Drosophila melanogaster: one gene and its partners. The gene in region 3 interacts genetically with the main gene of each other region. Each region holds a gene or a part of one and is shown on either strand. Other genes may lie near its edges. The genes, in order: Nep1, SNF4Agamma and Bace.

What was found.
Region 1: of Bace (region 3) and Nep1, changing one enhances a phenotype caused by changing the other (phenotypic enhancement), as found in Drosophila melanogaster (one study listed by BioGRID).
Region 2: of Bace (region 3) and SNF4Agamma, changing one enhances a phenotype caused by changing the other (phenotypic enhancement), as found in Drosophila melanogaster (one study listed by BioGRID).

What each region holds. Positions count from the first base shown.
Region 1 is NC_004354.4:6,089,258-6,093,011, forward strand, and holds the start of Nep1 (neprilysin 1), read left to right. Parts: upstream 1-2,037; 5' UTR 2,038-2,311; intron 2,312-2,375; 5' UTR 2,376-2,958; intron 2,959-3,754. Other genes in the region: Mipp2 (multiple inositol polyphosphate phosphatase 2), read right to left, coding at 1,152-1,585, 1,860-2,037; raptor, read right to left, coding at 1-449. UniProt on the Drosophila melanogaster protein: Metalloendoprotease which functions in fertility and memory formation. Required in the dorsal paired medial neurons and alpha/beta mushroom body neurons for the proper formation of long-term and middle-term memories.
Region 2 is NT_033777.3:21,154,535-21,158,288, reverse strand, and holds the start of SNF4Agamma (SNF4/AMP-activated protein kinase gamma subunit), read right to left. Parts: upstream 1,928-3,754; 5' UTR 1,878-1,927; intron 852-1,877; exon of another isoform or gene 793-851; 5' UTR 632-792; intron 1-631.
Region 3 is NT_033779.5:8,494,578-8,498,331, reverse strand, and holds Bace (beta-site APP-cleaving enzyme), read left to right. Parts: upstream 1-2,024; 5' UTR 2,025-2,063; coding exon 2,064-3,182; 3' UTR 3,183-3,439; downstream 3,440-3,754.

The DNA of each region.
Region 1 (3,754 bases), on a different chromosome or scaffold from region 3:
CATTCCTTTCTGATAGTCCGGATTAGCTCCCTCAAAGAACCGAGGGAGGCCAGTTCCTGGCCGTTGGAGGCCTGAATGTCGGATATTTGCTCGATGTGCTTCACGATTGGTACCAGTGATTGGTCCTGCCTCATGTTGCTAATCACCTTACCCAGGTCGTTCAGAGAGTCGTCCTGAGATGGGTCCCGGCCGATGGCCACCTGGTTCCCCAAGGCGGCGGATCGACAGTGCTCGATGTGCTCCAGTTGCTCCATTATCAAGATTATCGGATCGTCCCACGGGGCGAATACATATTTCTCGTATCTCTTGCGGATTAGGACGCTCAGGACGGCCTCCTTGCTGGAGGCCACCTCTTGATCCGCGACGCTGCCGTTGCTGCTGCCGCTGCTTTCGTCGACTGCGACGCCGACTGCGGCAGCGGCGGACTTAGCGCGAACGGCACTTGTCATGTTCTGCGTGCTTTTTGTTTCTCTCGTTTCTCGCTGTATTGCTTTTTTTCTTTTTCCGTTTGCCGAGGAGAGGGTGCAGCTCAATGCGAGCGATTTCCCGGAGCGATTACGTCTCGGTCGCGGATTCAATCAGCTAAAAATCCCCCCGAGGGGACTCTAGCACATAACCCCAAACACTTTTCGCACTTTCCGCACCTCCACCACCGCCAGCGCCTCCTCAGCTCCGCTCCGCGCTTTTCTGCTTTTCTTTCCACGTTCCTCTTCTCCACGTTTTCCGCCTACGGATCGCGGACCATTTCCCGAAAACGGGTAAAAAGAACTCGGGGAAAACACGCCGCCTGGGCTGATTAGGTCGATGCCGGGACAAAATAAAAACCGTACAACTATAGCGAGCGATCTCCGACGGAAGATGGTGCGCATTAACAGGTTTATTTACTTTCGCTTGGGTTTATTTATTTATGTTTAATCGAATTATATTATACGAAAAGAATTGCGCAGAAAATAGAGCTGGAACAAAAATCGATGATTTTTTCGATTGCACGCTGGCAAGCGGTTTACAACATTGATATCGATAATAAACTAACAGCGAAATGGCCTAGCTGTAATGAATGGCGTTGCCAGATCATTACAAGCTCATTTGTAGCGCGTAATTCAAAAGTTTGTTTTGGTTACATTGACAGAAAAAACTAAAGGACTGCTCACCCGCAAAACAGGATCCTCGTGCAAAGGCGGCGGATATCGTACAGTATGGATGCGATGACGGCCGAACAAACCCGTAGCGAAGCTTTCCGCACTTTTCAGCGTTCTCTGGGTCGCAGTATACTTGAAGTAGTACCACTCCGGATTGTACAACTCCGGAAGTAGATCCGGAAATCGCCGCTGCATCCGTTCCGCCAGCTCAATCAGCTCATCCTCACCCTCGGCCACCAGTAATTTCTCATCTTCAGTGGCATTCAGATGCATCCAGTGCCATTGGCGCAGCTTTTCCAATTCAGCGGTGCAGATCGGCGGCTTCGTCTGATCCAGAATGCGTTTCTTTATCTCTGATAGTCGATTTTGCGCCTGAAGGATAACGGATTCGCTAGGATTTCTAGTTCCGTGTCGGATGATGGTCCAAATTCGCGTCGGATGGCAGCCTTGTCGGGTGAAACGGTTAAAAGAGAAAAATCAGCTGTTCCATTGCCATTTGCTAGCAGTAGGCATCGGTAATAATAAACTAGTAATAGTATAATAACAAATCTAAAGCGATTCTCTGTTTTATGATCAATAAAGAATCCATATGCTTTCATGATTATGAATTCACTGTATTAAGCGAGCGCTGTTAACTGTCACATGGCACAACACATGTTTGTATTTCTAAGCGGGTGCCTACTGTGGGTGCGTTACACAGAAAACAACAAAAATACAAACCGGCGTATTTCGGTGGCGTTTCGTCATAATTTGCGATCGCTCTGTAGGGCGTCTTTGTGGACAGTCTGCCCTCGATATCTGCGCGATTAAGGCGGCGGCACTCCCCCTCTTCAGACAACGTCACGCCCACGAAGAAGTGGAGGAGCAACAAAAACAAGCAGTAAAATTGGCTTAGCATCTTTCCGGGCGGTGGAAAAACTTGTCACGAGATTAGAAACGAGGTTTACCGAAAAACGGGGTTAAAACGTGAAAAACAGAACGAAATGCCAGCTCAAAAGAAATCTAGGAAATAATAAACACGAAAGAAAAACAAATTGACAAGTGTGCTAGTCGCGCAAGGTGGCAAGGCTATCAGCTCAGCTGGCAGCCCTAACACATGGGGCAGCCAAAAAAAACCCGTTTCCACCGCCAGTTGGCGGTATTTTTAAATAGCATCTTCGATGGCATCAGTTGTAAGTGCTTGGTTGATTACTCATTTCAGGAAGCTTTATTAACACTATTTTATAATAAATTTAGTTAGATTTGCAGGTGCCTAAATCAGCGCATTGCCACTCAACAAGTGTTCACTTCGCCCAATCGAGCTTTCTGCCTCAAAAAGCTCTGTTTTAACCGGCCCGGCAAACTAAGCGATTAAAAAATGGTTTAGTCGCACGCCAAACACGCAAAAGGAATAAGCGTTGGCAAGGGAAGCATTTTGAATATCCTGTCCAAGAATAAAACGAGAAACTTACACACAACTTAAAATTGCAATAAATAATTAACACCCCTGAATTCGTTTCGTGTGGTCACTCAGTTTTTGTTCCTAAGAGTTTCGGTTAAAATTTGTGCTTATCGAGGTTCTCCTCGTTGCTTTTTGGCTGCCATATGGCGCCCAAGGAGCCACAATCCGCAAATGTCAATAGTGAAAAAAGGAATAGCTGAAACGCACATGCCAAAAGTTTTGCGCCAAAACTAAAGTTCCAGGTAACCGGTAGCTGGGAGTAGTTGTCCATTTGGGAATTTATGTATGGGAGCAGGAGCCGGAACATTGGAAGTGCCTAACTTTGATTTGTGGTAGGAACACACGCTACTGCACTGGAAAAAATCAAGCGCCTGAAAAGTAATTAAATTTTCTATAAGCCACCTTTCATTTTTAGACTTTTAGTGCATTTGCACTTTTTAACTGAAAACCTCTTATCACTGCTTACTGCTACTATCAACTTAACTTATTGACTTGGCCTGGGAAAATAATAAAATGCTAGTAAGCATGTGCATGGTAATTTAAGCATTTACGACAGATGCCCTGAGCTCATAAAAATTATCTTTATGTAAACATGTTTAGCTATTTATTTATTGGGCCAATTAAATTAGTTGATAACTTGAAAGCACGCCACTTTTCTCGCCGTGTATTCACGCCACCTGTTGGGCGCCCATTTCTTTTTTTGGAGCTTAAAGCGCGTGTTTGGAAACTTTCAATCTATTTTTGTGAGCTAGGATGGCAATCAGCTAACGAAAATCGATCAAATGATGGCTTTTCTTTGTTCGTAGGGTGAGGGTGGCTTGGTTACGTTAAAGGGCGGGGGAATCCACACACTCCCCACCGAATTTCGGGCGAGATTCCACCAAGCCGCCCATATATGATCGGTTGAGAATTTGTGGACAGTGGACAGGTATCCTATCAATCAGCGAAATCGAATGGGCAACGCAATTTCCGCGATTACCTGCCGCATCGAGTGGCCAAAAAAAAAAGTGTCACAAAGTAATTACACAAATGTGGGTGTTTTTCTTTTGTTTTGGATGGGGGCTGTGCCTGTGGATGGGGTTTTTGACGGGGGTAGTGCTTTATAATCTCCCAACTTATCGGACTGGGTGGTAATTAATATTTCTGTCCGAAGCCCATTGACAATGACACGATG
Region 2 (3,754 bases), on a different chromosome or scaffold from region 3:
ACTTCTAGTAGTTGTATCCGCAGATCAAAGTTCGACATTTCCTGATTGCCAACTTCAGTAGCTATCTTTTTTTAATTTCTGGGCATTCGCTTGAAGTGTGCTTACTTAATTAGTCAATGTCTAAAATGTAGTAGGCATCGTGATAGGGTACTTTTACATTTAAAGAAATCCACTCACGATTTTATAACCATAACTTCAAATGAGTTTCGACAAAAAAAAGTCGTATGAAGAATTCAGGTAAGACCCTTTGAATTGTTTTATGTTATTATATTTTACATTGCCTGATTTAATACTGTTATTCCTGTTATTGATACTGTTATACACTATCTATTACATAATTGATCGCTTTTATTAAATGTTTTCTAAATATAAAAAAATTTAATAAAATTGTTTACACATTCTGAAAATCTAATTATGAAAAAATTTTGGGCGATTTTGGGTATTTTCCCAGCGTCGCCGCGAACTGGGGGAATTTCCCACCCACTCAACTTAGTCACCGACACAAAAGGCAGATGAAAAGTTTCGGGGAAAATCAAACGTCAAGCGCTCATATCAACACAAAAAGAAAATAAAGGCAGTGAAGTAAATCAGGTTTTCGATAATTATAAAAAGAAAATAAATTGTCACCCACCTTTTGTGTGTTTTTATCAGTAATTGGATGTTTCTGATTCGCGCTGGCAGATTGCAGAATCACAATTGTCGAATTTCGGTTAAAAAATTAATTTCACGGACACAGGAACGCATACACACATCCGCACATTCACGTACACACTAACACACATTCACGTTCACCTGAACGGGTGGAAAACAAAACTTTTGTAAACAATTTCGCGATTAGGCATTTAGCTGCGCTAAGAAATTATTGTAAATAAGAAGAGACGTAACGAATTAGCTGGTTGTGTTGGCGCATTATATGTTATATATATGTTATGAGTGTATATTCAGAGATTAGAGCGAAATTATAATGACGACTTTTCGCTGGATGTCCAAACACTTTCGAGGTGTTGACTTTTCAGATTAGATTACAGCACTCATTTCACTCGGCTAATTATCAGCCATTTGGTTCAACACCAAATAAATCACAAAACACGAAAACACCAGCAACAACAACCGAATCGATCTTAATAAAAGCAAAGAATGCGAGCCATAAAAATCAAGAATCAAAATGAAAATTTATTCGGGCGCGCGCTTCCACTTTGGACTCGACTTTCCAATTGGAACACGCAGTGATCGGACAATGGAAGGGGTGAGAAGAAGAAGAGGAGCAGCAGGACGTTGTTGTGTTTGCCACTTTTTATTAAGAATCTAAACCATTACTGCGCGAAACACAGCTAGAAACTGACACAAGGAACAAAAACAGAAGAATAGCAAATCTGGGCAAATAAAAGTATTTGTCCGTGGAAAATTTCCAAAACGTTTCTGTCGCTCTTTCCAGCGACGCCATGTGTTTGTTTGTATGCGTAACAGCTGATCGCCGATTATTGATTTTTTATAGGGATGTACATATGCACACATGTGTGTGTATGCATGGGCAGGAAAAGTGATTAGAGGCTATTGTTTTGTGTAACAAGAAAGAAGTTTCACAATTCACTTGCGCACTCAAAAGAACAAAGATCGATTGTCCGTTGTTGCCGTTGTTGTCACTGCAATTTCTGCAATCCATTCGCGCACAATTAAAAGCTGTTCACGCAGCTTATCACAGAAGAATTTTATGGCTAAGCCACCCACTGGCGCGGACATGCTATCCTGACACCATGCCGGAATTTTCTCTCAATTAAATTATTTATTATAAATTAGTAAGAATTTAAGAACATTTAATTTGCTTTGTTTTTCACTGCACTCCCGTTTTTTAACGCGAATTAAAAGTTTTTCCCAACCTCGTAATCCGCTGCGTTTTCACCAAGCAAAGTTCGCAACCTAACTCACGATTGTGGTCATCGTTATCGTTTGCGAAATCCAGCAGAAAAGGTCTTACTCTTCGCCTATCGTTATCGCTAGAGATCTTTTTACAATCCAGTTGGAATTAGCGTGACCACAACTGTAACGTTGTTTTAGTATTTTTCTATAACTCGTTGTTTGCAATTTTACTGAAATATGTGCATTTAAATAGTAAATTCTTAAGTGCCCACTCGCGTAAGTAAATACGCACATATATCTACTTATTTATTCAATAAACAAGAATCATTGAGAATTCTTTAGTTGCGTAGAAGTTATTTTAAATAAAATGCGCTTTGCTACTTTCCGGCGGCGGTCACACTTAAAAAACAACGCGTTGCCAGATCGGACCGTGTTCGCAATAGCAATCAGTTTTTGTCATGCACCGCCGCTTTAGGCGCCAAAATGATATAAGTTTGAATTGCAAAAATTGCTCCGCTCTGTAAATCACGCCGAACATACAAAATAGAAAACATTTTAGCTATAAAAAAAACTTTAGCTTTTATAAAAAAAGCTATAAAAGCTATAAAAAAAACTTTAGCTAGCTTTAGCTAAAAAAAATTAAACTTATGTACATAAGCATATTCCTATTTCCATCATAGTGCTGGAAATTAGATTTTATGCCCCATAAATAATCATAACCAGTTGCCTTGGCATGCCTTTCACACTTTCGGAGCCCACCCAAACTCTTTGAAACTTCAGCTAAGCCAACAAAAATCAATAAAAATGGCGCATTGCACAGAGGCCACCGAGGAGCACACAATGACGCCACCAGAAACAGCAAAATACTTGAAATCGGAGTCGATGAATTTGCCACCATTCACGAACTTCATTTAGACCATTCCAAATAGGTCCAAGGACGCAATAAATACATTTGAAGTACTCTCGAAAATAAGTTTCCTCGATGCTCAGGGTTTTTTGCTAGCTCGATCAATCAATCCCAGCCGAGGAACTGGGAACACTCACCTGCTCGATGTCGAAGTCCCATTCGGGCGATGGAGAACGCGCTGTTCGGCCGCCCGGCGGAGGCGTTCCCAATGCGGGGGAACCGGCTTGGGGCTCTTCGGGAATCACGGCGAAGCGACCCCGCTGGAGGATTGGCGAAATGGCGCCATAATTAGCTGCAAAGGCGAAAGAAGGGGTCAGTATTCAGCACCATGCATTTATTATCGAGAATTTGACCAAAAGATATCAATTACTATTAGCATAACTGTAATGATTAATGTCGTATACTTTATATAAACTCAAATTGTAAAGGCGAAAAAGTACCAAATCAACTTACACGTGGGCATGAGACGAAAGCGGCCGAGCGTCGTTTCGGGCGGGCCCTGTGGCGTGGAGGAGGTGACACGGAAGCGTCCTCGGCGGGCGGCGGCCACGTCCTCGTAGTTGCTGCCCCCCGACGCTCCGCCGGCACTGCTCTGCATCCTGTGGCTGATGCTTCCTTGTCGGCCTCGCCGAAAACTGCAATGGAGTGTGAGAAAAATCAAATCAATATTGCGCACAGGTGGCAAAGTTCTTGTTTCCTTTGACTAAAACAACTGAAACTCAATTAAGCCAATGGCATTAGAGTATATTGATCTTTGATGGAACTATATAAAACATTTTCCGTAAATTCTCTAATATAAAAAACTTAGCAAAACTTAGATATAAAGACGCTTTTATGAACACTAAAATTAACCAATCAAAACAATTAAAACAAATGGTCATTGATTTATATATCTTGCATTATACATACCTAATTTTATATAGACTTTACTTGAACGAATTTTAACTAATAGTTTCAACTCAACTACAGCTAACATTTCCTAACATTACT
Region 3 (3,754 bases):
TTATGAATGAAGCTCCTATGAAAAAACATTATTTAGTTCCAACTGTAGGAAGAAAATAAGCAATCAGAATTAGTATTCCATTTATGAGCCCTAGCAAATGTTCTTTTCCCCGACAATTCATTTAACTGAAAACATTAACTGAACTATTTTCACTTGTTTAATTTATCTGTCATCGCAGTCGGGTTATATTTAATGTGCTTATAGGCCAAAGTTCGCTGGCTAGTGTTGATTTGAAACATCAATATCTTGCTCGATTAATCGCCTGGCACTTGACTGACTCCGAGGCTCATAAACCACGAGTGGGTGCATCGGAGATCGAGCAAGCTGTGAAAATGCAATCGGCGGAAAGAATTCGATGTGGAGTAGAAGAAGGATGAGTAGTGGGTGCTCCTGCCTGAACGAATCGCCCACCTATTGATTACTCGGAGGCAAATGCTCACTGACCGAACCGGATACTATCCATAATAGCAATTTATTTGTTTTCTGGCTCTGCCTCTGTGCTGTATGAAATATATTTACCAATTGTGAATGTTTGCTGATTATTTTTGGTTAAATATTATTTGCATCTCGGTCTAAGCCTTTAAGCCATGTCCACGCACAGCAAATAAAAATAAATCGAAATTCATACAAGCGCACACAATTCGGTGAGTTGTTCGGTTAGTTGGTCAGCCACCCCGGGCGTATACTTTATTTATGTATTTGCCGACTACAATCAACTCCAGTTCAATCCACTCGCGTTGGGCCATAAATCAAAAAATGATTGATAAACGGTTGAAGGGGACTGGGCATGGGCGCTATTTGAGCAGCCTAATAATTGCACATGAAATGTCAACGCAGGAATGCGAGAAACAAAAAGCAGGCGGCCCACGTCGCTCGGTAATCATACGCCCCGTGTGCCCAGTTACCAGTATGGTTACCGAAATTGCCCGACGGTGCGTAAAATCCGTTGATTACTTTATTTTGGGTCGAAAGTGCGCAACGCACTCGCCCGTGGACACCTCCATTTTGGCCCCTTGTCTGTTCGTGTGTTACTAGCCCTCGGCGATAAGAGCGGATGCTCTGGACCACAATTAACCTGTGGCTGACCACCACACAGAATCACCACCCAGAAATCCTCACATTACTGCTCAACATCCCACCATCCCACATGTGCAAACAGTCCCTGCGCTGGCAATAAAACGCAATCGAAACCATGAATCTCCTTTGTCCTTCTTGGCCAATTGAAGTGGCATTTTATTTGATTTTAAATCTGATTTCAATAGGGTCTTAAGCTTAATGGTAGTAGGAGCCATGGCAAGAAGATGACTGCCGCCGGACCTGCATTTGCTTTTTTATCTGCTAAAACGAAATTTATATTTTTATATGACCGAGCAAATAGCTGGTGAAAGTGCTCGAGTGTAACCACTTGATTGGAAGGGAATTTAAGCCGAGGTGAATGCGTTTCCTCTTGGCTGAAAACGATCAAATTCCCACGTTTCCTTAAATTAACCAATTGAAAACAAATTCATTCTGGTAATGTGAGTTAATGCTCGAGCAATTATATCATCATCCTTAGTTACTAAATGATTTGGCTTTTTGCTAAGCAGGGGTTTTGCCCAATATGCCTGGTGAATTTCCCAAATGCATGGTTTTACCCTAAAACCCTAACACACTTATCGCTATCTCTAATTTATTGGCTTATCTGTGAGCTTAATCATGCAATGATATTAAAACAAATTACCATGAAGAGTCACTTATTATTATCGCGTAATGTAAGCACTATCAAAGTCACTCAAAATGTCCAATCATAACAAAGTCCAGCTGCGTATTGGAATTTAGGATTCACTTCTTGAGAACGCTATCGAAAAGATCGAAATATCACCTCACACCTGAAATGATAATATGCCAGATTATAAATATCGAATGCCGGACGAGCATTAAGAACTCATACTGCTTAAGACTGGAGTGGTCAACAAATCTTATCACCGGACAATTTGGGCTGTGATTGATGGCAAGTGCTATAAATTAGACCCGCTACACCGATCGTCAGTTAGTCGAACTCGAGTAGACTAGAAACCAAGAGAATGTTCAAGACCATCGCTGTAGTAGTGCTCCTGGCAGCCCTGGCCAGTGCCGAGCTCCATCGCGTGCCGATCCTCAAGGAGCAGAACTTTGTGAAGACGCGTCAGAATGTTTTGGCCGAGAAATCCTATCTGCGCACCAAGTACCAGCTGCCCTCGCTTCGCAGCGTGGATGAGGAACAGCTGTCCAACTCGATGAATATGGCTTACTACGGAGCCATCTCCATCGGAACTCCCGCTCAGAGCTTCAAGGTTCTGTTCGACTCAGGCTCCTCGAACCTGTGGGTGCCATCGAACACCTGCAAGAGCGATGCCTGCCTGACCCACAACCAGTACGACTCCAGCGCCAGCTCCACCTACGTGGCCAACGGCGAATCCTTCTCCATCCAGTATGGCACTGGCAGCCTAACTGGCTACCTGTCCACCGATACCGTCGACGTCAATGGCCTGAGCATCCAGAGCCAGACCTTTGCTGAATCCACCAACGAGCCGGGCACCAACTTCAACGATGCCAACTTCGATGGCATTCTCGGTATGGCCTATGAGTCCCTGGCCGTGGATGGTGTGGCTCCTCCGTTCTACAACATGGTGTCCCAGGGTCTGGTCGACAACTCCGTCTTCTCGTTCTATCTGGCCCGCGATGGCACCTCCACTATGGGTGGTGAACTCATCTTCGGTGGCTCCGATGCCTCTCTGTACTCTGGCGCTCTGACCTACGTTCCCATCTCGGAGCAGGGCTACTGGCAGTTCACCATGGCTGGATCCTCCATTGACGGTTACTCGCTGTGTGATGATTGCCAGGCTATTGCCGATACCGGCACCTCCCTGATCGTGGCTCCCTACAATGCTTACATTACCCTCTCCGAGATCCTGAACGTGGGTGAGGATGGCTATCTGGACTGCTCAAGCGTCAGCTCCCTGCCCGATGTCACCTTCAACATCGGTGGCACCAACTTCGTCCTGAAGCCCTCGGCCTACATCATCCAGTCGGACGGCAACTGTATGTCCGCCTTCGAGTACATGGGCACCGACTTCTGGATTCTGGGCGATGTCTTCATTGGCCAGTACTACACCGAGTTCGATTTGGGCAACAACCGCATTGGCTTCGCCCCAGTCGCCTAATTAACGATCCGCAATTACGAATCAATAAAGAAACGAGCTCTTAGAATTTTCTACCAAATGTCTGGGTCACCTCAAGTGGGTCACCTTTCGAAGGCTGAAGGTGTAACAATCTAATCTGTTTACAACTTTGTAAGTGGATAGGTTGTGAGTAAGCGACTCCAATTGCGTTTTACAGTCATGGCTATTTATGCTTATCTGCATTTCATATAATAAATGAATTACACATTGGACTTTCTGTAAATTGTTCGAGAATGTATAAAGTATATATAATTTAAGCTATCGTTTACGTAGAAATACCACTCCATTTATTTATTTATTGACACTTAAGGAGACTGAAGTGGTTATCCAAATGTGTTATCCGGTAGTCCGCAAATTCCCAGCTGGCTGTGGGATAAATGTTGACTCCGGACCCAAAGGAGATGGTGTTATGAAGGCAATGACAGAAGCCATCAGCTCCGGGAGCCAATTCATTTGTCCAGCCTGTTGGCCGGGCAATGATGTGTGTCACCGGGTGTCAAGTGGGGACTCTGGTAGCCCGGGGGAATGCCACAGATGTCAGGTATACTGCCGGG